3 linked regions of the Pelodiscus sinensis genome follow. The protein of the gene in region 1 purifies or fractionates together with the protein of each later gene. This does not show direct contact. Links are inferred from orthologs where the notes say so. Each region holds a gene or a part of one and is shown in the gene's direction. Other genes may lie near its edges.

Region 1 (8,642 bases):
CAGATACAGAGAGACAGGCAGCGTGTACATTCAGTGCCTCTGCGAGGAATTAGAGTCCTTCTGCCCACAGTAAGTACTACTCCTATGCCCCATGTGAATGGTATATAGAGGACTGATGAAGGGGTGGGATGCATTTCTTCCAGGAGCCCTTTCTTAAACTAATCTGAATAGAAACCTACAGACAATAGCACTTTCCGCTTACAGCACTTTGCATCTTCAAAGCATTGCATGAGTGCTAGTTAGACCTCCCAAGCCCTCTGTCATGCTGGTCAGTGCATGTTGCGGTGCCTTTTTCACAAACCAGACAGACTCTCTGTGACTTGCCTGAGGTTATGGGAATCAGCAGTGTAGCCAGGATTATTGGGCTGAACCTGCAGGTGCCCAGTTCCCAGCTCAATCCGCCACACCAGTGGTGGGCAACCTGTGGCCCACATATCACCTGTCCGGGTTCTATGTTCGGCCTGCACAGCCTCCCTCTGAGCCGTCTCCCCATGCCTCTCGTGCCTAGGGACCCCGCACTTACCTCCCCCTCCTCCTCCCCCCTTCCAGCGCTTCCGGAACTCTGTGAATCAGCTGACCTGTCCCTGCTCCTCCGCCCTCCTTCCCAGAGTTTGAATACCACAAATCAGCTGATTCACAGCATTCGAATTCTGGGAGGGAGGGTGGAGGATCAGGGACAGGTCAGCTGATTCACAGAGTTCTGGAAGTGCTGGGAGGAAAGGGAAGGAGAGGGGATGAGGCGTGTTTGGAGGGGACAGAGACGAGCCGGGCAGTGTTTTGATGGAAGGGCTGGAGTGTGAGGACAGGGTGGGGCGAAATGAGAAGTGACCCCCATTTAAAGCAAAAACCATGCTGGTCATGGTTAATGCACATGCCCACTGAGATGGAGGGCCACTCGTGGCCCACTCACCAGCCTTGGTTGCCTGTCGCTGCTCCATACTGTGCTGCCTTCCCAGACGTCTCCTATATAGTACTTCACAATGTTAAATGACCAGTGGTTTTGTTCTTCCAGTGGGAATTAGTGGAAGCCAGAGGAAGCAGGCAGTTCTTTTTAGTGAAGAGCAATGGCAAGAACCACCCTTCCCTAGGCTGCAGTCTATAGAAGAAGCCGCGCCAGTGTTGTGCTTTGGAAATGAAGGCAAATGGTGTCTGTGATCAGTCTTGTGTAGCATCATGGAGAGCAGCAGGAGGGTTGGATGATGTTCATTGGCGTCTCCATATTATCTAAATGCTCCTTCTAACCAGTATCAAGAAATGCAGCTTGATAGAAAAGCTTACACCGAGTGGCCTTTCTGAAATTCTTTTTTCTTCTGATATATGTTGAATGCAATGGTTACATCGTACCATAGGTGGTGGGTGAAACCCCAGCTGGGGAAGGCAAGTCCCCAGGCCTGCGCTTCAGCTCGAGTCCCCGTCCCTTCCACAATGCCCCCCACCACCATGGAACCAAGCTCGCTCTTGCTGTAGCAGCTGGTCCCCACCCCAGGCTAGTGGTTCCCAGCCTTGGGATGCCCCCAGGCCTCTGTGCCTCCCCCCTTCCACGGGTGGTGTGGCCCCAGCCTTCCTGGCTGGCAGGAGCACCAGTTGGCTGAGCAGCTGGGCAGCTCCAGCCTTCCCAGACGGTCGTAGAACCAGTCGACACCAGCCTTTCTGGCCCTGAAGCACCAGGGGGCTGGCCAGCCCTGCACCTCTCCCTCTCCAATCGCCAGCCCCAGCACCAGTCCAAGAGCAACCCACTGCTCACAGGTAGGAGGGGCCCTAGGGCGGAGCATGGGTGGGACCACCCCAGTTGTTTTGGGAAGGCAATGCGTTCCCTTGCCTTCCTTACCCACCGCCTAGCTAGGGTAAAGGAAAGCCATTGTCCTTGCTCCAGGGGATCATGTCACCCAAACCTGGACAACTTTCCTGACCAGCCTCACACGGCTACTCTGAAAGTCCTGTGTGTTTCCGTATCACTCTTGTTTCCCCTTGTAATTTGTTCAAGGCGTGTAGATCTGTTGACCATTCTGACAGAAGTCAATAAGAAAGTGGGAGAAAAAGTGTTTCTCGACAAAAAGCAGATGCCAGAAATAAAATCAACCCTGCGGAAGCAACTGATCTTCCAGGTGCCAACGCCAGACAAGAAGCGTCAGTGAGACACTAAACTAGGAGCCGCTTTCTGAGATGGATTCAACTTGCAGTTCCAAAAGACCAATGGACTGGATCTATTCAGTTAGGTCCCAGTCCTACAAGGTACCGAGGGCCTTCAACTCTTGGATCATTCGCCCTGACAGTGGTCCAAATCATGAAATGGCCTGACAGTGTCCAGCATCTATCTACTTCAGTAGGAGTTGAGCCTGCTCAGCCTTTTCTAGGATTGACTGCCTTGACCCTGATTTCACAGGAAGAAACACACAGGAAAATTATGACTCCAAACCAATGAGGAAATCGGCAGTTTCCATTTGTCAATGTTATTCATAGATAGTATGTCTGAAAGGGGCCATTGTGATTATTAGGGATCTTAGCTTTCTGTGAAAGGAAAAACCCCAAAATTCTTCAGTTTGTCCACAGTTGAAATGAAACGCTGAATTTTAGTTTCCCTAGCCACAATATATATAGGTATCAGTTGAATGCAATGTTTTATTGATATATTTACCATTTTTTAGCAAGTTCAAGCCTATCCATTTCACAAACACTATAATAAAATTAATAGAATTGCTATTTGTATGTTTTATGTATACCTAACAGTTGTATGTTTGTATTCTATATTTTCAGGAAATTGTGGGTTTTAAACGCATAAAAACACTCACGTGATAGTCATAGTACATTGTTTCTTTACAGTTGTTGATGGTCCTACTGTTTCAGCCTCTCTTGTGTTTTTTGTTTTTTGTTTTTTTAGTCTAGTTTGGCGCTTTCCATGTGTTCTACAAGTGTCTGCCTTCGAATGTAATCTATGACCTTACTGCATACAGTGCAGAACAGGTTGAACTAGTCTAGTGTAGCACACTCTAGTCCAGTAACATCTGTGGTTCAGCATGCTTTCTTTTGGCTGGATGTCCACTTATCATGGGTGTGTGTGGCCAAGTTTCCTGAGGTCTCATAAAGTTTGTTTACAGCCACCAGTCCAGTGTTCTGTTGTGCTGTTTAGCTCTAATTTACACCTAAATATCTTCTAAGAGGCCTGTAAGCAGTGGAAGTGTTGGTAATACTGATAGAAAATATTGATCTTGAATGGTTCAGCAAATTCTCTGGTTCAGCACCAGTGAGGTCCAGAAGATGCGAGACTAGAGAGGTTCTACCTGTATCATCAATGTGAAATTTCTCCTTGCCAAATTCATTGACTCTAGGGGTGGTTTTAAAGTTTTTGGTATCTTTTCATAACTTTGATTACTCATGTCTGGAGGTTGAAGTGAAATGTGAGAGACATTAAAACACAGAACCCTATACACTGTCGAGTAACTTCAGTACATTGGAAGTAGTTTATTGTAGTATGTTTAGCTATGTAAATTTAAAAATCAAGAGTGGGAGGCTGCACACAGTGAATAAGTGACACTGACACCTTCAGTAAGATTTAGTTAATAGTTAATATTTATATTTTTTTACACAATGTAAAAACTAGAGATTTTTTGTAAAAATGCAAATTCTGTGTTTTTTCTAAATGGATTACTAGGATCCCTGGTAATCATCTTGTCTGACCTCCTATACTGCAGACATAAGACTTTCCTGAATTTACTCCTTTTTGAACTAGAGCACAATTTCCAGAAAAACAGCCAGTCTTGGTTTACCAAAATCCATTTTTATTATCTCAGCCCATGCCCCTCCTAACTTTCCCACCCCCCAAAAACCCTAACTTCCTTGATTTGTATTCTGGATTTACAGATCTGATCCTGGGGAGGTTCTGCATGGACGGAGAAAGTTGAGCCTATAAATTGCCTAGAACATCAGGTCTATAGCATGGTTCTCAGGGGGAAAAGTCCCTTTATACAGAAATTAAATCAGCAAGCAGGAAACCACTATTTTAATCATGTTTTGCATTTGTACTTTTTAGAATGTGACTTAAGGAAATGTTGATTTCTCATTAATTTGTAACCTCAGAAGCATGCTGACTTGCAACTAAATTAATTTAGTGGAAAGGCTATATTTTGCTGGTGATTTTTGCTAACTACACTATATCTCTACATATTTCTTTAAGCAAAGCAACTATATAGATTAGCCCATTAGCATATACTTATTCAGCTTCTTTGTTTTGACATTTTTAATAGAAAATGGTGAAGGCTTTTCTGATATAGTAGATTAAATTTTTTGTGTGATCTTTGTCACACTCAAATAGGATGGAAATTCAAATTAAATTAAAATGCAGAAAAATAGCATTTTAATTGTTTTTATTAAATAAAATGATATTAAAAGTGCTGTATACATCAGAAGAAAGTTTATCAGAAAGTGTATCAAAACATTGAAAACTAACCAGTTTATTAAACAAAGGCAGTATTATCAGTGATTTGTGAATTTAACTGATTTGTTCCTGGTTACGTTGTCCTTCAAGAATTTAGAACTAGTAGATCTTACTCTCTTACACCTACTTTTTCCACATGGAGTGGCAGAGAAAAACAGTGTCCTTCATTTTTCCAACTCCCAATTGGGTTTTTAACTTTGAATGAGATAGTAAATGAACTGAACTAGATAACTATAATCTGAAATGAAGAAAATATTGTCTCCCCACCTATAGAAGATGCAATTGCTCTACATAATTTGTTTAACAGTAGACTTTAAAAAAATCAATTTGTATCCACCCGGACAGTGACAAAGAAACAGGCGGATGCTAAAAGACCTGTTCTGTAATTGGTGGTCTTTGAGATGCTGCTCATGTCCATTCCAAGTCAGGTGTGTGTGCACGCTACAAGCACCATGGTCCAGTATCCACAGGGGAGCAACTCTAGCAACTCTCAAAGCACAATATAAGGGATGCTTCACACTTTCATCACCCTCAGTTCCTGCCCACTGGAAACTCCAACAAGTGAGGAAGGAGGGTGGGTTGAGAAATAGACATCTCGAGGACCACCAGTTATGGAACAGATAACTGTTTTGTCTTCCAGTGCTTGCTCACAGCCATTCCAAACTGGGTGACTTCCAAGCAGTATTCATGGAAGCAGATAGGAGTTCAGGGATATGTCGCTTGTAGCACAGCACTGACAAAGCCAGTGTCCTCCCTAGTCTGTGTGGCTGTAGTGAGTCGTGAATGTGTGTATGGAAGATCACATTGCAGCTCTACAGATGTCCTGGACTGGGACGTGAGCAAGGAATGCAGCCGATAATGCCTGTGACCACCAGTGGCAGGACATGTGCCGGGTCATAATACGCTTTGATGCAGTAACACGCTTTGATCTTTGATTGGAGATCCTCTGTGTAGACACTGGAAGGCCCTTCATCCTGTCAGCAGTTGCCATGAAGAGCTGGGTTGATTTCCATGAAGGGCCTGGTGTGTGCCAGATAAAAAGTCAAGGCACACTTGACATCCAAAGCATGCAGCCTCCTCTCCTCATTATTGGCATGTGACTTAAGGTAAAACGCCGGGAGGAAAATATCCTGGTTAACATGGAAGGGCCATAGCACTTTCAGTAAAAAGACCATCTGGGGTCAGAGCCAGATAGAGGACTGAATATGGTTCTGATGTCAAGGCTTTTGACACTCATCTGGCCGATATCACCGCCATGAGGAAAGCGACCTTCCACGATAAATGAGCCAGGGAACACGAGCCCAATGGCTCAAAGGGTGGTCCTGTCAGCCTAGAGAGGACCCAACAGAGGTCCCATTTGGGAGGTGATTCTTGACAGAAGGGAAGAGCCTTTCAAGAACTGAGCCAACAGCTGGTGCCAAAACACAGATCTGTCCTGAATTGGAGGGTGGAATGCCAAGATGGCCACTATACGAACCTTAATACAGGACTGGGTCAGGCCCTGATTCTAGAATTTTATTTGTTCTGGAAAGTTCTAGAGCAAGGGTTGGCAATCTTTTCACGTCAAAGAGCCAAATTACATCAAAACTCAGAACAAAGAGCCGGCATAAGAGTGCCCAATTGCATGACTGAAAATATACAACTGAAAATGATTGATGATTGATGTGATGATTAATAATAGCACCAATGAAACATTGTACTCACAGGCTTTATTTAATGGACTTCTGCTGCTGCTGGGGGTTTGTGGACGTGGGGGTGCAGCAGTCAGGATTGGGCTGTATGAAGGGCTCAGGACAGGGGGATGGGATGTGTGGGAGGTGCAGGCAGCAGGGCAGGGTGCTGGGATGGGAAGCAGAGTATGCGGGGAGGTTCTGGGAATGGATTACTTTACCTAGCCGAGGCTGGGCTGCTGCAGTGGCTGGGATGAGGGGCCAGGCCAGGATCGCCACAGCCAGATTATGGCCTCCCCTCCTACCTGTGCCGCAGCAGGAGGGGAGCTGCCACCAGCCCTTCCTGCAGCCAGATGGGGACCATACAGTGGGGCTTGCCCCAGGATCGGTGCTAGGGACAGGACCCTGTGGACAGATGGGGGATTGGCTTCCGATTGGGGCCTAGTTGGCCAGGCTGCCGTAGCTGGAACCTAAACCGGGCCACCATGGCTGGGCTGTTGCAGCAGTCGCAGGTCCACCATGACTGAGCTGCGGGGTCCACCTCAGGAGCACTGCAGCTGGGGACAGACCGCGGCAGAAAGATGGGGGCTGGAGCCGAGCTGTGGCAGCCAGGTGGAGGTATCTGCTGCCGCCAGCCCCTCTCGCTATGCCAGCTGGGAGCGTGCACGTGTTCTTTCCAGCACATCCTCAGCTGGCCCTTTCAATGAGCAGAGTGCCCCCAGCCTGCCCATTTTATGTGTCTTTGAAATTGTGTATTAATTTTTCGTTTTAATTTAAAAAGTTCCATGTATTTTGGGAATGGCAAAAGAACAGGCCCTTTGGCCCATGGCCCACCCAGGTCATTATAAACCTTTCCGTGGACCACCAGGTCCTAATGGAAACTTGACGCTAATTATATAATTACACTCGAGCCATTTTGCTAATGGTGCAGCAAGGGAGAACAGTTTAATTTAGCCAGTAAGAAAGAAAATATTAGTTGAAATTATTGAACAGATTAAGCACTTCAGCTTTCTCATATTAGTTTAGCAAACTTTATTTTAAATGAAGTAAAAATGTTATGTCCAATACAAAAGGTTTCAACATTCTTTATTTATGGCAGGAGCGGGGAACCTTTTTCGGGGTGGGGGCCACTGACCCACAGAAAAATTAGGGACCACACAAATGAGCAGCAAAAAACCCCTCCAAAATCCCACAGCCCTCACTGATGTGGCCCCCCACTGAGACACCCCACTTCCCTGGCACTCCATCCCCATGGAGAGGAGGAAGAAATGAAGTTCAAGGCCTCAGGCCAGATTAACTCTCTTGGGCTTTGAGGGGCAGTGGATTTTGTGGACTTCCTTAGGCTCTGGTGTGGAGCCAAAAAGGAAGGGTTCAGTGTTTGGGACAGAGCGGCCAGTGAGTGGGGTAGGGATGGGGGTGCAGGATCTGGGTGGGAGATGGGGTGCAGGAGGGGATGAGGGTGGGAGGTAGAGTGCAGGAACAGGCTGACGGTGGGGTGTCTGACCAGGGGAAGGATGCAGGAGCAGTTTGGGTGTCTGGCCAGGGGGAGGGGTGCAGGAGTGGGCTGGGAGTGCAGGGTCTCAGTGGGCAGGGAGTTGGGGTGCCAAGTCTGGGCATGAGAGGAAGGGGGCATTCACTTGCTTTTGCGCCCCATGTTGCTCTCAGGCACCTCTTGCTGCTCTCATTGGCCAGTGGGAACAGCGGAGAAATCCTACAGGCAGCATGTCCATGTGCTGCTGTTCCTGCAGCCAAGGGAGGGGATGCAGCAGCGCGCAGAGCCACATCTGCCTCCACTTCTCCCCTGCGAGTTGGATCATGCAGCGAGGTTCGGGGCTTTCTCCCCTCTCTGCCCCCACAGGAAGCTAGCGCTAGCGCACCAATCTTGTGGAGGTGAGGGGGCTGCAAGGCTGAAGTGCTAGTATGGGCTCCTTGTAGTGGAGGGAATGAGGAGGGGGGCTGCGTTCCAGCTGCCAAAGAGCCATATTTGGTTCAGGAGCCATAGGTTGCTGACTCCTGTCTAAGACCTTGGGTTTGAGCCAAAGTCCAAGACGTTTGTGAGTAGACAGAAGGGAGAGTAGCACGTGAGTCTGAGGCCACATCTATACTTATGCTCCGGTGATAGATCTTCTGGTGTTTGATTTAGTGGGTCTAGTTAAGACCTGCTAAATTGAATGCTGAGCGCATCTCGGGTCAGCATTGGTACTCCTCCCAGTCACAAGGAATAAGGGAAGCGGATGGGAGTGTTTGCTCCCATTAACATCCACTGTGAAGATGGCAACAAGCTTGGTTTAAGATATGCTGACTCCAGCTACGTTAGTTACACACCTTGAGCCAATCTTTCGGGTTTAGTGTAGCACTGGCCTGAGTTTCAACCTGGGCTTGCACTGCAGTGTAGAATAAGTTATACCTATTTACACTACTGTCTGTCTGATAGACAGCAGTGTAGATAAGTATTGCCAATAATCATACTGAAAAGTGATTTTGTTTGTCCTGACTACTTTTGTCCAGAATGAGTAGAAAATTCTGCTTCATTGCTTTGT
Region 2 (8,452 bases), on another chromosome or scaffold:
CAGACTTTTTTTTTTAAAAAGAACCTCTCATTTATCTGGTGTATTTTTCTTTGTCAGCATAGATATTGGCCAGCAGTTACATTCTAAAATGAATAGACGTGTTAGTGTTCCTGTGTCTGTCTCATGCATTTTAGAGTAGATGAACCTCTGTGGAAACCACTCCCTGCTTCAGAAGCAGTGTGTCAGAAAGGAAAAGAGTAAATTGGAAGAGTACAGTGGGCAATTGCTAAGCCTTGAGAACAGTCAAGTAGGGGTAGAAATCAGGCATTGCCGTGCTGAATTCGTACACTCGGTTAAATGTGGAGAGCACTTTTATATGGGGAGTTTTAAGAAGCTGAGTTCATTATTGAATAAATGAATTGTGGCTCAAAGAATTGCCAAATATTTGTAAATGAAATGAGTACACAACGTGTAAACTAAACTCTTCAATAAAAGCTGTTCATAATTAAGTCTTAACTTGTATTTGAGCATTGAGCCAAAATACTGTGACAGAAGCTTTAAATGAAAACTCCTAATACGCAGTAACTCCCATTCTATCCAGACATCAGAAATGTGCATTTACAGCACTGTGAAGGCTGATACCCCACTCTGGCATGATGAATGCAGAAGTGGGGGCCCACAAAAGCAACCCCAAAACCTTATCTCTACAAGCTTTGGTACAACACTTCCCCGCAAAATCTTAACTTAGATTTTGGGGATAAAAATATGCTGCTACCATCAGGTGCTTTTAAACCCACGACCGGGGGTGGATGCTTGAAACCAACTCCAGGGCACCCCACGCTCTTTTCCCCAAAGAGCTTGGAAAAAAAAAAAGAGAGAAAATACAAATTGCAGTCTGTGGTTGCTGTCCCCTAACCAGAGGCATGCAGATCTCAGACAGATTTTTCAGAACACAGAAATGAACCAATACCAGGTTAATAAAAAAGAAAACTTTTATTACCAAAACAATACTATTGTTGCAAGCATAATGACTAGATGGAAAAAGTTACCAATTAATATACTCATGGGGGACCCCCATGGGCTCAGGACTTAGTTACAAAAGAGAGGAAAACCCATTCTAACAGCACAGACATCAGATCCAAATTTCCAAAACAGAAAACAATAAAACCTAATGGATTTATCTAAACTTTACCCTATTTATACATTATGAAGAGTCTTTTTCTTGGAGAGAGACATGTGTTCTGCCTCCCTCAGTATCCAGAGAGCAAACTGCCCAGAGACAAAGGAGGGAAAACCCCAAAATTCCTTTGTCTCAGTTTGAAGTCCTTACCTGCATTTCTATTGGCTGAATGCTACCTGGCTAGGTACAATTAACCCCTTGGTCTCCAGGCTGCTACCCATCCCTCATGGTTATAACAAACACTCTATGCTCTGCAGAGAAAAATGTGCATTATTAAATCTTGTTCAGTTTATATAAATTAGAGGATATTAAACTTAATAAAAAATGTTCTGAAACAGTGTTTTTGATTGCTGGAAACACCAAGACATTTTTTTAACATCAAACTCGAACTCCGATCTGGACAGCTCCCCGTGGAACCCGGAAAACACCCTGTACTTTTGCCTCCTGGCTGGGAAAAAATCAGAAAATGCCAGACATTTTAGGTGTCTGGTATTTTCTGAATTTTTGTACTGGACTGTCTGGCTCAATACCAGACACCTGGCAACCCTATGACTGCCCCAAGTACTGGGTCCTTGAACACTCCCTTCTTATCTTCTGAAAATGTATTCTGCAAATCTCAACTCTGGTCTAATGTCTCAGGCAAGATCTGCAGTTGCAGAATTATATGATCAGGTAGAAGTTAGTTGCTCTGGAGATAGAACTTTTCTATTGAACATTTTGATTGGTTTACTTTCCATGAATATGCATCCTGTTCATATCTCATAGATCTTAAGATGTATGGATGGAATGCAGAGTAATAGTCCTTTCGAGGAGGAATGAAACTTCATATATACTTTCATGGTTTTAGAAATTAGTGTCTGTGGTTGCAGTTACATTTTATTGTCCTTTCATATGTATCCTTTCTTTTCTTATAGTGGATCCAAATGACTTGTATATTGTAGAACCTCTGAAGTTTTCACCAGAAAAAAAGGTATAGTAGCTTCCTTTCCGGTTTCTGCCAGCAGATGGTGCTTTTTCTCAGTCACTTATCTACAACTAGCCTTGGAAGAATTAAGTATATCCACAAATGTCAGTGAACATTGGCTTCACACCCCCACCCCACCCCCACGTGATGATAAATATTTTTATCAGTCATCAGAGGGGTAGCCATGTTAGTCAACTTCAGCAAAAACAAGGAGGAGTTCTGGAATGCCTTAAAGACTAACAAATTTATTTAAGCATAAGATTTCAGGGGCTGGAACCCACTTTGTCAGGACTCAGTGTTGTATTTACATTTTATATCAATGATGATCAAAATTTACACAGTAAGAAAAATGATCCCTGAGAACTTTAGTTTGATGTAAAGATATTTACCTTATGTATTTTGCCATGTGATGTTGATAATTTGCTTTAACCAGGTAAAGCTTTAACTTTCTGAATTTCAGCATCTACTATATTAAATAATTTTGACCCCTTGGATAATTTCCTGCAAACTGCGACAATTTGACTAAAAATAAAAATGCTTAAAATAAACATCAGTATTATCTATCAGTTATTAGAGTTCTGACAAGCCTATGTATGATCTACTATTATTCATATGCGATATGATTTTGTTTGCATTGCACAATCTAATAGTTTCTTTTTCCTTCTTTAGAAGAAACGCTGCAAATATAAAAGTGAAAAGATAGAGACGATTAAACCAGCGTCAGAGCCTCTACATCCATTAGCCAATGGGGAAATAAAAGGAAGGAAACCCTTTACGAACCAGAGAGATTTCTCTAACATTGGCGAGGTATATCATTCCTCATATAAGGGTCCTCCATCTGAAGGAAGCTCAGAAACTTCATCTCAATCCGAGGAATCCTATTTTTGTGGCATTTCAGCATGCACGACTCTGTGCAACGGACAAACCCAAAAGACAAAAACTGAGAAGAGGGCTATAAAACGAAGGCGATCTAAGGTTCCAGACCAAGGGAAGTTCATAAAAACTCTAATACAGACTAAGACTGGGTCAATGCCAAGTCTGCATGACATAATCAAAGGAAACAAAGAGATAACTGTAGGAACACTTGGTGTCACAGCTGTTTCTGGACACATCTAAAACTAGTTGGATTTCTCATGCAGGAGAGTGTTTGTTCATCTGAGAACAGTCTGTTGTACATCTTGCAGGAGAGTGATGGGAGAAGAGATCAGCTAACTGGAAAGTATTCAGAAATTATGATTTCTGTTTTTTTTAAAATAGATGGGATTGTGTCAATCTTGGTTGAGTTTCAGCTTTACAAGGCTGATGACTTCCTCTGTGGACAAATGGGGGGTGGGAGGGATCATTTTATAAAGCTTTTTTCACAATTAGTGGGGCAAAGATAGTTGAAACCCAGTTTGTTGGGTGGAATAGGGATAAAAGCCTAATCCTCTTCCTTTAGCTTTGTTCCTATTTCTTGCACCTTCCCGTATTTATGTGCCTTTTGTCTATTTATAATGCCACTGGAAGAGGAAGAGAGAAAATTGTCCTTTGATTTCTTTTGTAACTTCTCTTGCTTTTTGGAGGAGGCGACACTACAGTGCTGTAAAGGGGCATGTTGGCAGTCAGCTGGACTCAGTAGTGTGGGCTGGAGACCGTAGTAATACTAACATGGCAGACTTGTCGATTGATCTCCATTTTGAAAACTCACTTGGAAAAGATCTTGTTAGAAGCAATTGTAATGCCATTAATTACATTTTAATCAACTTCAGAATTGTTTTATTTAGGTGTGTAAAATGAATTACAGCTATGCAGTTACACTCGCTGTACGTGAAGGAGCTCATGCTGACAAACATGCCTTTGATCCCCAGACTGACCTTTGGAATTCTGTTACAATACTTAACCAAAAAGGATTGATGCTTTATTTTAGTCACTCTGTTTTCTGATCCAAGAATTTGGACATTAGGGACTACATTCAAGGAGAAATGTAAGGGTGACTAGGTACAACTGAAAATATAAGTATCCTAACCAGGGTTGGGTACAAATGCACCTGACCAATGCAAGTGAGTTTGCCAAGCCTTGAAGTCTAACAGCTCAAGTCTGTATAAAAGTGGATATTTCCATAAAGTTTGCTTTTGTATTGGCTAAGATGTGCAGGGTGTGTGTGTGTGTGTGTTTTGGTACTTTCATATGAGTTTATTTTGACCATGGTTGTATATTTGGATAAAATCGAATGTGTGACTGCATACAATGGTGTGACTGAAGCAGAGTGAATGGGACAGAAGGTTACTCCTTTTTGAGAGGTGTTATAAGTTCATGTTGTAAAACTAAGTTAACTTATTGAGCACTTTTAGTGGTACCCTTTTTTAAACAGATCAAATGCCTTTTCTGGGTATTGTATGTAATGTGACTTATTTAAAGCTTTTGTTTTTGCTGCTTTCATGTTAGTTTATGGATACTTTATGGTGATGTACTTTTAGAGACGGTCTGCACAATTAGCCAGTCAGAGCACATGGACCTGATTTATAGAATGTCTAATCAGAAAGGGCTCCAAACAAGAATGAAGAAAAAATGCTTATACTATCTGAGTGCAGCAAACAATATTGTGGAACAAGATTATGTAACTACAGAGCTGTAGTGCCATTAGAAACTGTGAATTTCCGAATAAATCTGAACACTTGTCTTATGCATTTAGTAGCTTTTCTTTTATAAATCCCCTGTTAATGGGTTGAAGCTCAAATTTGTGAAGTTGTGTGGTTTAGTTTATAGGACACTGGACTGACTGAGGCACTAGGAAACCTGGAATTTACTCCTGCATCTTAGAAAAGTCCCTTTGCCTCTCTGCTTTGATTTATCCTCTCACCATGTGTGACGGCAGGGGGCCACTTCAGTCCAGCCAGGCTGGAGTGGCCTTCCTTCCCCTTCCCCTTCTCCCCCATTTAAGCAGTTAACTGGTTAAACGTAACATTTCACTGGTTAACAAATTAAACAGGATTTTACATTCCTAATTTAGAGTGTAGACTCTTAGAGCAAGGACTGTTTCTTACTATTTGTTTGAAGAGTAACCTGCGTCAGGGAGTCCTGATCTCAGGGCCTTTAGAGGTTGCTGTAATTATAAATGAGCTAGTTTACCACTTGTAGCAGCTATAAATGTGGATTTATTGTTTGTTTCATTGGCAAGAATCTTAATTTGTGCAACTTTTTCTTGTTTCTATATCTTTAATTGTAACTTACCAAGAACTTCATTTGCAGAAAAAGTAGGTGGGCTGTCACATTTCCTCAGGCAAGAAGTTGTTTGGCCTGTGGTTTGTTTTTTAGTCTCAATCTTGACCTCTTGCTAATTATTGCCGTCTCCTATAGCCTTCAATAACCTCACAAAAAAGAAACTAAGCGATTGGAGCCTTGAACATTTAATATCTTTCCATATGGCTGTAGGTGATGGTTACCTGTTCACATCCCTAATATCACTGCTAGCTCTTGGTGCCTGCTAGGCCTTGAGTGTCTCCCTGTGCAGGTGGGTCCTAGCCAAGACTATGTGAGGGTTGTAGTTTCCAGAAACTTTTTACCGTTTTTTTTTTTTTTTTTTCTAATCCTTCACAGTTGTGGCTATCTCCTCTCTGGAGATATCTGCATGACATTACTCTTGCAACAGTAACTTTAACCAAGGCAAGATTTATTAAAAACAGGGAAAGGGGCGCTATACATTTTGGGCAGGAATAAGAAAGGGGGTGGAGAAGGAGAGACAAGCCTCTCTTCTCAGATGTGCTTAAAAGGTTTTGGATGTACTAAAACCGTTCACATCTGGAGGTTTCTCTCCTTAGCAGCAAGACTCTCCAGACATTGGAAAGCATGACAGTTCTCTCTGGAGGAATACTTAGGAGTCACTGCGTGAGCATGAGGCTTGGATGACGACTCAGCAGATCTACATTCTCTTCCTGGGGTAAGTCATTTCACCACTCGTTGCCTCAGTTTCCCCATCTGTTACCCCCTTTGCCAAGCGTTTGAGAAGGACTAGTCAACATGCAGTATTAAGAGCTAGGGTTGTGTGACATGCATATTCATAAGCCAATTTTCATAAAGCATAACTCAAAGATGCTTTAAGCAAAATGTATCCTATAAATTATCATTTTTTTTTAAAGTTACAATCTGCCAAATGTGTGTGTTTCTGTGCATCTAAGTCTTTTAGTGAAAGCAGTTAGTGGTACTGTAGGAAACTTAGTCGTCCGGTGGTCAAGGCAATGATCTGTACATGGGCTTGTTTTTCCTGTAAGCCCAAACTGTGGCTGGCTGTAGAAAAACATATCACCTGGTGCTAGAATCTATTTTGAATCTGGTATTTTTCCATGAAGATAAGGGGGGGGAACAAAAGATTCCCACGCTGGGGGAAAGTATTTAAGGAATGGAAAGCAATTGGTCTTTTGTCTTCAGTTGGCCTTTGAAATGGCCTCTCCACCCTCAGAAGATACAAATGCAGTAACCTGGAAACAAAGAACTCTTAAGGACAGAAGGGGGACATCTAGACTGCAAACCTCTTTCAAAAAAGAGCATCTAGACTACAACCAGTACTTTCAAAAAAGCAAGCTGCTTTTTCGAAAGAGCACCCAGGTAGTCTGGATGCTCTTTCAAAAAACGACAGTTTGCATTACATAGCGCCTTTTTTCAAAAAAAGGTGTTCTTCCTCGTTAAAACTAGATTTTCTGCGGTCGAAAAAATTGCCCCATTTTGATTTACTTTCCAAAGAGCACAGCAGCAGCCTAGATGCAGGGGAAGTTTTTTCGAAAAAGGCTGCTTTTTCCAAAAAAACCCTGTAGTCTAGACACACCCAAGGAGCTGTAGACCCAGGCCAAAGAAAAATCAATGGTCTTGAAGCATTTTACCTGAAATAAGGACAAGGGTGAGGAATATACTTTGAAACAATTTGTCTTAGTGTAGTAGGCTTAATTGGCATGTTTTGTTTGTTTTGGTTTAGTAACTTAGATCTGTTTTCATATGCAATCACTTAAATCCTGCTTTTTATACTTAAGAAAAGTTTTTGTCAGACCCAGTGAAATAATTGTTACCTGGGAGGAATAACAGGTGTGCATCTCTCTCATTGATAGACAGCAAATCTAATGAGCTTTCTCTGTGTAAAACATTTAGAGTAAGATGGATTTATTTGAGGTTTTAGTCCCTTTTGGGGGTTGTGTTCCTGCGTGCTGTCAACAGCCTTATAGCCGGCCCTTCCCAGAGCCAAGCTGGTTCAGTGTCTGTTGCTTTGCTGGGGTGCTGTTACCCCAACTCGGTGGCTTGGCCGGAGAACCAGAGCTTCTGGCCCAACAGGACAGGGTGGCGGCGTGCCTCAGAGAGCAGGTAGGCAGGTTCCATACAGCGGGTGACAGCCTCAAGGGGACCTTTGTGATCGAACCGGTCACAGGTTGATTACCAGTGTCTTACCCACAAACCGGTGTGATAACTCCTAGCAGCCTGAATGGCCATATAGTCCTACAGAAAAGATTTTTGTTTGAAAAAACCCCAAATAAACTGGGCAATGCAGTAACACAGCATGTTGTTAACGCAGAGTTAAGTTTGCCTGGCTGTGTCCAGTACCCCTCTGGAACACTAATGTCTAAAACTCAGAAATTAAGAGCTAAAGGTCCTTCCTTGTGCAACCTTAATTCTGCCACCTTTGAGCAATGCCCCAGCAAACCCGTTACACAGAAATAACTCCATCCTTGCTAAATTTGATAATCCCTTTGCTCTGGCACAATTCATCCCTCTCATTTCCTACCTTGCCACTGACCAGAAGACCCCTGTGTACCAATTGTAACAGAACCTACCGGATTTAACAGAGACCAGGCAGGCTGGCTCGCACTGGCACCTCTTTCTGATCATACGAGAAGGGGTTCGACCCACTCAGAGGAAGAGCCCCACAGACATCCGACTCCATTCACAGCTCTGACAAGCGGCTCCAACTAATCACTCTGCCCTTCAGTACAGCTAGCACAGTGAATGCCTCTGGAGTGCATGCTAGGGGTGTAAGTGACTAGTCGGCTAACCAATAAGCCTAGGAAAGGCACAGGGGGTTTGGTCCCGGACCCGGCACGAGCCAGGACTGAGCCTCCCTGCTTTCCCCTATCGACTAATTGAGTAGTTGATAAAAAAAAATTCTACCGACTACTCAATTAGTAAATTAACCTCATTTTAACATCCCTGGTTCAGGCAGGTAATTCTCAGTGACTATTCCTGGTGCTGGAAGGACAGAGGTACGGTTATATTGGCCGGTATCTCTTCATTCCTTCTTTCTTCAGAGGCTCAAAAGAATTTGAATTTGCTGCTGGATGGACACAGATACGTCAGGCAATTTCAGCTCTGTCTGTGAAGCTTTGTCAGGGAGTTGTCCTATGCCAGGTTAG
Region 3 (7,921 bases), on another chromosome or scaffold:
ACTCCCCGCCATCCTTTGTCTTCTGCCATCCGTCTCCAGCCTCTGACAAACAGAGGCCAGGGACACCATTGCTATACCCTGGCTAATTGCCTTTTATGGACCTAACCTTCATGAAATTAGCTTCTCTTTAAACTCTGTTATAGTCCTAGCCTTCACAGCCTCCTCTGGCAAAGAGTTCCACAGGTTGACAACGCGCTGTGTGAAGAAGAACTTTCTTTTATTAGTTTTAAACCTGCTACCCATTAATTTCATTTGGTGTCTTCTAGTTCTTCTATTATGGGAACTAATAAATAACTTTTCTTTATTCACCCTTTCCACACCACTCATGATTTTATATGCCTCTATCATATCCTCCCTTAGTCTCAAAAGTCCCAGTCGCTTTAACCTCTCTTCATATGGGACCCATTCCAAACCCCTAATCATTTTAGTTGCCCTTTTCTGAACCCTTTCCAATGCCAGTATATCTTTTTTGAGATGAGGCGACCACATCTGTACACAGTATTCAAGATGTGAGCGTACCATAGTTTTATACAAAGGCAAAAAGATATTCTCTGTCTTATTCTCTATCCTTTTTTTAATGATTCTGTCATTTAAATATAGAAGGTATCCGAGGCACACAGGCTGTGGGGTGTGCTATGGGGTGGGAGACCTTGCCAGGGCTTGAGCTCCGCCCATCTCTCCCAACTCTGTGGCCATGGTCTTCTCCTGCCAACCTCAGTGTGAGCCTTGCCTAGACAACACCCCTCCCCATTGAGGATGACTCACCCACTCCCAGCCTGTGGATTCAGGATAGCTTAATTTTTACAAGGGCTGAGGCCCAGAACCTCTAGGCATGGCAGTTCATGGCCCCCAGCACCACGGGTTTGTCACATTGGTTATGAAATTTAAAAAAAAATTGAGCTCTGGCACCTTTTTTGTTATAAATTAAGCCCTGCCAACTTGTGATTTTATCGTGTGTCTTGAAGTATTTCCTGCTGTTCTGAAAGCAAAGACCCTGCTGCTGAGGTCATACAATGACACGAGTATCTCAGCGTTCCTTCTAAAGGAAGAGGAAGCTACTAGGCATCATAATTTTAGGGAAAAGCCCTACAACAAGCAAGTGAATGACACAACATGCAATGTAAACACATCTAAGGATTTTTAAGTCATTCATGATTTTTTGGGCCTGACTCTCAATTTTTGAATCATGGTATTGGCACTATAGCAACACTACCAATTAAGCTACTCTACTGTGACAGTCAGAACAATCCATTGGGTGCTTAGCACCCATTTTCTACTGCCTGGTTCCTTAGGGTGTGTCTAGACTACAGGGTTTTGTCAACAAACGTGGACAGTAAGTCGACAGAATGCGGCAGTTTTGTCGACAGCGGTAAACCTCATTCTATGAGGAATAACAGAGTTATGTCAAAAAAAGGTGCTATTGCATCTACACTATGCTTTTTCAAAAGAGAGCGTCTAGACTCTCTGTCAAAAAAGCAGCTTGCTTTGTTGACAGAACTGGCTGTAATCTAGATGCTTTTTTTCGACAGACAAAAGCCTGTGGTCTAGACATACCCTTCCTGCTCCAATACATGTGCACAGGGGAAGAAGAAAGAGAGGGCTATTTAAACCAACTCTATGCAAGGAGATTACAGCAGGGGTTCCCAAACTTTTTGACACGGGGACCAGTAAATCTATTCACAAACTTTTGGAGGACTGGTAACATTCATTTGTATACTTGCATATTCATTAATCAAATGATGAATATTCAAATAAGTTGTTTCTGGTCCTCCCAAAGCCCCCAGTGCCAGCTTTAGCAAAGCTTTTGATATAGTCACCCACAATATTCTTCCCAGCAAGTTAAGGAATATGGATTGGATAAATGGGCAGTAAGACAGACAGAAAGCTGGTTAGACCAGGGTTTCCCAAACTTTTTACTTCAGTTGGAACCCTTTTTTTCTGTACTGTTTTTTGCAGCCCAAAAATATAAACACATAAAAAACAAACTGAGAAAATACCAGACTTTTCTCAGTAGGTAAGTCATATTATTACTAGCTGTATCAGTTTGTAGTTTCGAACTGCTTGGCTGGTAAATGTGCTCAGACTGCATGAGCGTGTTTACCAGCCAGACAGTTCACAACTACTCAAGAGGGCAGGGGGGATGGGGGGCACAATAGAATCCCTGGGCCAGACTCATTCGTGCTTTGCGGGGTGGGCAGGCAGCGCCCCGAGATCCGCATATGGCCGGGTCAGTTCGCTCCCCCCGCTGTGCCTCCGGCCAGCCCCACTTCCCCCAGTCTCCTCCCGGGCAGCCAGTTCGCCCCCGCTTCTCCTCCCAGTCTCCCTTGACCAGTCCTGATGCCCGCGTCCAGCCCTGCTTCTGGCGGCCTCTTGTCCCCCCCCCCCTCCATTTTCCTGGCCAGCTCCCTACCCCCGACCTCGCGCCCCCCAGCAGCCCTGCTTCTGCCAGCCCCCCAATTTCTCACGGTCAGTCCCGATGCCCCAAGCAAGCCCTGCTTCCAGCGGGCGCTTCTCCCCTACTCCTCCTCCTAATCTCCCCGGGCCAGCCCTCTGCCCAGCTTTGCTTGTGCCGGCTGCCCCTCCCCCAATCTCCCTGGTCCGCCCTGATTTCCCCATCCAGTGCTGCTTCTGATGGCCGGCTCTCCCCTCCTCCTCCTCGCCGCCCCCAACCTCCGCTAGCCGGAAGATTCAGCTGCAGACTCTGCCCAGGCCGGCCAAGGGCTTGGGGACCTGGTGCCACACAGGCACTTCGGGAGCCTGGAACACCTCGGCAACCATGCTGAGGTCCGGTACTTTTTTCCTGCGGCCCAGTATCAGGCCGTGGCCCATAGTTTGGGAAACGCTGGATTACAGGGTTCATGCCTGAATTGCATGTGCACTCATATTCCACCCAAATAAAGCAAGTCTTTTTTGTTTGTTTGTTTGTTTGTTCCAAATGACTTTTTAGTGAAAAATTTAATTAAAAATAGGTGTGTGCCTTTTTCAATATTTTCATCTAAAACATCATAACGTGTCTTCAGTTAGTAACAAAAACCACATTTTGAACAAATGAAAAAATTTCAATAACCAGTTTAATTTTTAAAAAGGAGGATTTAAAAAAACCCTCATGAATAATTAAAAATCAGAGGAGGTCAGCATCACACCCTTTGAAATGAAAACAGTTTCACAATATGGAATTTCTTTCCCCCAAACAGGTTTGCATGTCTCAGAATCCTAGTAATTTTTGTGGTTCCCCACAAAAAACAGACATGATTGGGCCCAAAAGCAGGAATTGGGGTGGCCTGTGCCCACGAAAGCTCATGATCCCATCTACATGTTTTGTTAGTCTATAACCGTGGTCCCCAACACGGTGCCCGCGGGCGCCATGGCGCCCGCAGGGGCATTTGTCGGCGCCCGCCAAGTGCTCAGGGCTGGCCTGGGGCCGGGCACGTGGCACATGCGCGGTGCCGGAGCCGGCCCTGGGTGCGTGGCGCACGGTGAGCGCCGGCCCCGGGGGCGCCACGGATTGACCCCCCGCGGCGCATGGCGGGGGGGGGGGGGGGAGAGAGCGCCAGCGCCGGCCCCGGGCGTGCGGCGCTTGGGGGAGGGGGGGAGAGAGCGCCGGCCCCGGGCGCGTGGCGCTTGGGGGAGGGGGGGAGAGAGCGCCAGCGCCGGCCCCGGGCGCGCGGCGCTTGGGGGAGGGGGGGAGAGAGCGCCGGCCCTGGGCGCGTGGCGCTTGAGGGGAGAGCGCCGGCCCCCGGAATGTGGCTATGGGGGGGCCCTGCCCCCCTGGGCGGCCGGCGGGCGAACGGCCACGCCCCCTGGTGCCCGGCAACCCCAAATGGTTGGGGACCACTGGTCTATCAAGTGCTACCAGACCATTGGTTGTTTTTTTTCTGTAACAGACAAACTCGGCTACCCCCTGAACTTTTCTACAGTTACTTGTGTGATTTGTGTGTTACCTAATGGGTTACCATATTTGAATTTTCAAAAAAAGAGGACACTCCTGAGAGGGAGCGTATCTGTATCTACCAACTCATGTTTATTCATATGTTATATATACAATATAATATATATTTTTAAATCAGAAACATAATAAATGATAATACATTGGTGCACAGTTCTGTACTCTGCCATTTCACATAGGAGTGCCCTTTAGAGCAAAGAGAAAATTGACAACCCTAAACCCACTTGATTGGTCTATCCAGTCATCTGATAGCTGCAGACAAATTCTTTAGCACTCAGTTACGGGCCTCCTATTGCTATCCCAGGCACATAGGACTGACAAGTGCTCTGGCCAATAATATTGATTCCTAAACCTGAAGGGGAAGTACAATCCCCGTATGCAGGAAAATATCCTTTCTGAGACATACAGCTTTAATCTGACCCTTAGTAACATACTGTCATGCAAGATTTAACCCGTCTCTGTCCTAAATTCCTTAAAATCCTTGCTACTCCTGGTTAGGATTACAGCACAGCTAAACTGGGGGTCTGGTTTCTTGCCTTCAGCTGCCTTTCAGGATACCTCTGTCATTACAGCCACATGACCAGGAGGAGTTTTTAGTGACTCTCCCTCCTGCTATGCAAAGAGGCGGAAGTGAAAGGCATCTGAAAGCGTGAGAAGGGGGTGTCTGGACAAGGTAAATTAATGAGAGTTATAAGAGGGTGGTTTTTGGTGGGCATGACATTTAATGTGGTTCTGCTCTGATCAATCAGCTGTGCTTGCTGCCAAGAAAGTTCTTGCTTCAGGGAAGCTTTCCGTTTTGCCCCACAAATTCCATCATCCACAAGCTTGTCACATGAGACCCAAAGCAAATGAGCGATTCGTTTTTACAAAGATATTAAAATTTAAACTAGTCCAATCTCCTTCATAAATTACAAAATAAAACCAAATCAAAGCAAGCTTTTTTCCAGGGTCACTCACCCTAAGGCTAACTTTTTGGTCTGGGGTGGGGGTGGGGCATGGGGAAAGAGATTTTCAACTTCTGGAACAAATATTTTGTGTTCTGTCAGTCTGACACGGGGGCTTAGGTTTTTCTATTGTTTTTAAAATATAGGGCCAAAATTGCTGCTGGTGTAAGTGGGTGAAATGTTGAATTGAGTGAGACTTATTTGCACCCATAGGGAGTTTGGCCCACAGATTTTTAAGTGCAACAGGCAGGAATTGCACATCTGTGATATTGACCCAACTGACTTTTACAATCATGGAAAATTAATGCTGGTGAAAATGGGCCAAATTAACAGTCCCACATCTGCCATTCTACTAAACTGGCACTGAAAGAGGAAATCCAATGCAAACTTCTCCAAGCAGCCTCAGAACCTGGTTAATGTGGGTGGCTTCCTCAGACGGATTTGTTTACTAGGAACTGAGCTGAAACTCCTAAAACTCATTTCACATGGGCCACTGAATCCATAGAGATTTTTAAATTCAACATGTGTGATCTCTGCCTTATTTTCAAACTGTATTTTTCACACATTATTAAGCCAAACCCTGCTGATTTTAATAAGCCTTTCTGCACTGCATTGCTGATCCTAACAGGTTTGCTGGACCTGTTATAATGGCTACCTTTCCTTTCACGAACTGTGTATTAACAACAGCACATGATTCAAAATATTGTAATTGGAGGAACTCCTACCACGTGAAATACCATTTACAGTTCATATCAGCTTTTGGAATACCATGCCATGTGCTGGGATTATGAAACATTAGGAGTATTACATTGTGCAAAAGTTATTGCCAGAGCACCCCGCTACAGGGAATATTATACTGCATAGAGGGAAAATTACTCACAAGTAAATGACCTCCCTATCAGAGCAAAGGTGAGGAAATGAATCTGTTTACATTTTAATTGAGGGCCATCTTTTTGTTCTGTGTCGTATAGTACCCAGCACAATGGGCCTGGCCCATAACTAGGGCTCCTAGATGCTCCTAGAGTATAGCTAATAAAATAAAAATAATTAATAACAATAATAATAAATACAGTTTGATGCATCATTTACTATTGTGAAACAGTGTAACAAAGTTCAGGTCAAAATTTTGTGTTATAGTACTGGGAGGGATTTCTATTGAAACTGACTAAAGCAAAGTACTTGAATCTCTGTCTCTGTCTCTTTTATTCTCCCTCTGAGATACTGGGACACAGACATGCACCTGAACTAACACCCACCGAACATTTGGGAGCATCCAAAAGCAGCTCTAAACTTTGCAGCTTAGACTCATCGCCTCCTTTTGCTCCGCTATGGGTTAGGGAAGTAATAACATAGTCAATTAACCAATTAACTGATAAGCAAAAGCTTATAGGTTAATACTATATACTTCACACATTCTCCTTTCCGGCCCCCAACCAGGCAATTTTTTAGCAGGCTGGCCAGCAGCCTGGCTCATGCTGAGTCTGGGAGCTCAGATCCCCTCATCTTCCCTCTGACAGGGGCTACTGCCACCCCATGCTGCTGTCCTCTGCATCAGAGGCAGTGCTGTGGGGCAACAGACAGCCAGGCTGCAAGGGGAGCTGGTTTTTAAATTGGCTCCCTCACAGACAAGCACCCCGCACTGCTGCTTATGATACAGAGGCAGCATTGCAAGAGTGGCAGGGGGCTGCTCGGGAGAAGGACCAGAGTGCACTGGCTGCCAGCCCCACCCCTGGGGACTATAGAATAGTTGTGTAACCGACAAGAATTCATGAGATTAATAGACTATTCAATTGACTGATATTTAACTACTATAGGTGGCATTTTTGACAGCACTTAAGTGATATAGGAACATGAGCAATTGGGATTTGTGCTCTTAAATTACTCAGGCAATTCTGATATTTCCATCCTGTACACACACACATATGCACCTCTAGACTAATCAGTAGATGTTTTAGCAAAAATCTCTGCACTGTCCCACAGCCGTGCAGCTTACAGGGAGCTTAGGTCTTAACTTGATCCACTAAATGAACCGCCAGTCGATCGATCTCAGAGCATCAATCCGAACGATAGTGTAAATGTAGCCTGAAACTTTCATTATAAAGGAGCAGGGGATTCAGAAACTGGAAAGCAGCAAATTTCTAACATCCTCCAATTCCAGTAGCTCAGGGAAGCTGAAACAGAACTTAGTTCAATTTATCCTTTGGCAAAGACTCCAAACTGACTAGGCTCTCCAAATTGGCTGACTTGGTGGATTAGCCAAGCCTGGCAATGTTTGTGTTCAGGTCCCAGTATACAGTGTTCACTGAGGCTGGTTCCACCAGCTTGAGCTCAACATACTCTCTACCATAGATGAAGGTTTCTTGTGGTGAGGTGTCATCCTCCTCTTAGAATTATATAAAGCCTTGAAGTGAAATCTTGGTTCCGAGGAGGTCAATGATCATTCTGCCCAGTGCCTTCAATGGAGCCAGAATTTTACACTTGGAAATTTTTGTTGTGCAGAAAGGAGCTGAACATAACCACCTCTTGTGCTATTTAGATTTGATCATTAGAGGCCTGGTTGGTAAAGTCTTAGCAAGTTCTCACCTTTGATCTCAGGATTTCTCTGAACTAGAAATCTTTCCATCAGTGGGACTTTGGAGTTGGGTTTGGAATAACTCTTTTGTTGTTACACAAAGTTCTCTATCTGCTTTTGCTTTAAGAAATAATAATTATAAATCCTTTAAAGGTTACATTTGCTTTGTCATTAACAATCTCATCATTGTTAGGGTGCATATAGACTGGCAAGATTTTGTGCAAAAGAGGCCACTTTTGCGCAAAAACTTGCCAGCTGTCTACACTGGCCGCTTGAATTGGTACAAGAGCACTGACTTTGTAATGTACAAAATCAGTGCTTCTTGCGCAAATACCTTCATGCTCCCGCTCGGGAAAAAGCCCTCTTGCGCAAGAATACTTGTGCAAGAGGGCCAGTGTAGACAGGGAAGAACTGTTTTGCGCAAAAAAGCCCCGATGGCTAAAATGGCGATCGGGGCTT

Evidence for each region. The genes of interacting proteins can lie anywhere in the genome.
Region 2: the proteins of caspase-8 (region 1) and FASLG purify together in Homo sapiens (co-immunoprecipitation; 8 studies listed by BioGRID and IntAct, with this or other methods). This does not show direct contact. The link is inferred for Pelodiscus sinensis from reciprocal best matches to the Homo sapiens genes CASP8 and FASLG.
Region 3: the proteins of caspase-8 (region 1) and TRADD purify together in Homo sapiens (affinity purification with western blotting; 6 studies listed by BioGRID and IntAct, with this or other methods). This does not show direct contact. The link is inferred for Pelodiscus sinensis from reciprocal best matches to the Homo sapiens genes CASP8 and TRADD.

The regions. Positions count from the first base shown.
Region 1 is NC_134717.1:56,935,057-56,943,698, forward strand, and holds the start of caspase-8, read left to right. Parts: upstream 1-5,520; 5' UTR 5,521-5,538; intron 5,539-8,642. Other genes in the region: caspase-8-like, read left to right, coding at 1-69, 1,985-2,135. UniProt on the Homo sapiens protein: Thiol protease that plays a key role in programmed cell death by acting as a molecular switch for apoptosis, necroptosis and pyroptosis, and is required to prevent tissue damage during embryonic development and adulthood.
Region 2 is NC_134719.1:64,391,336-64,399,787, forward strand, and holds the start of FASLG (tumor necrosis factor ligand superfamily member 6), read left to right. Parts: upstream 1-4,882; 5' UTR 4,883-8,452. Other genes in the region: SUCO (SUN domain-containing ossification factor), read left to right, coding at 2,035-2,090, 2,754-3,200. UniProt on the Homo sapiens protein: Cytokine that binds to TNFRSF6/FAS, a receptor that transduces the apoptotic signal into cells. Involved in cytotoxic T-cell-mediated apoptosis, natural killer cell-mediated apoptosis and in T-cell development.
Region 3 is NC_134722.1:39,338,126-39,346,046, forward strand, and holds the start of TRADD (tumor necrosis factor receptor type 1-associated DEATH domain protein), read left to right. Parts: upstream 1-4,351; 5' UTR 4,352-4,619; intron 4,620-7,921. UniProt on the Homo sapiens protein: Adapter molecule for TNFRSF1A/TNFR1 that specifically associates with the cytoplasmic domain of activated TNFRSF1A/TNFR1 mediating its interaction with FADD.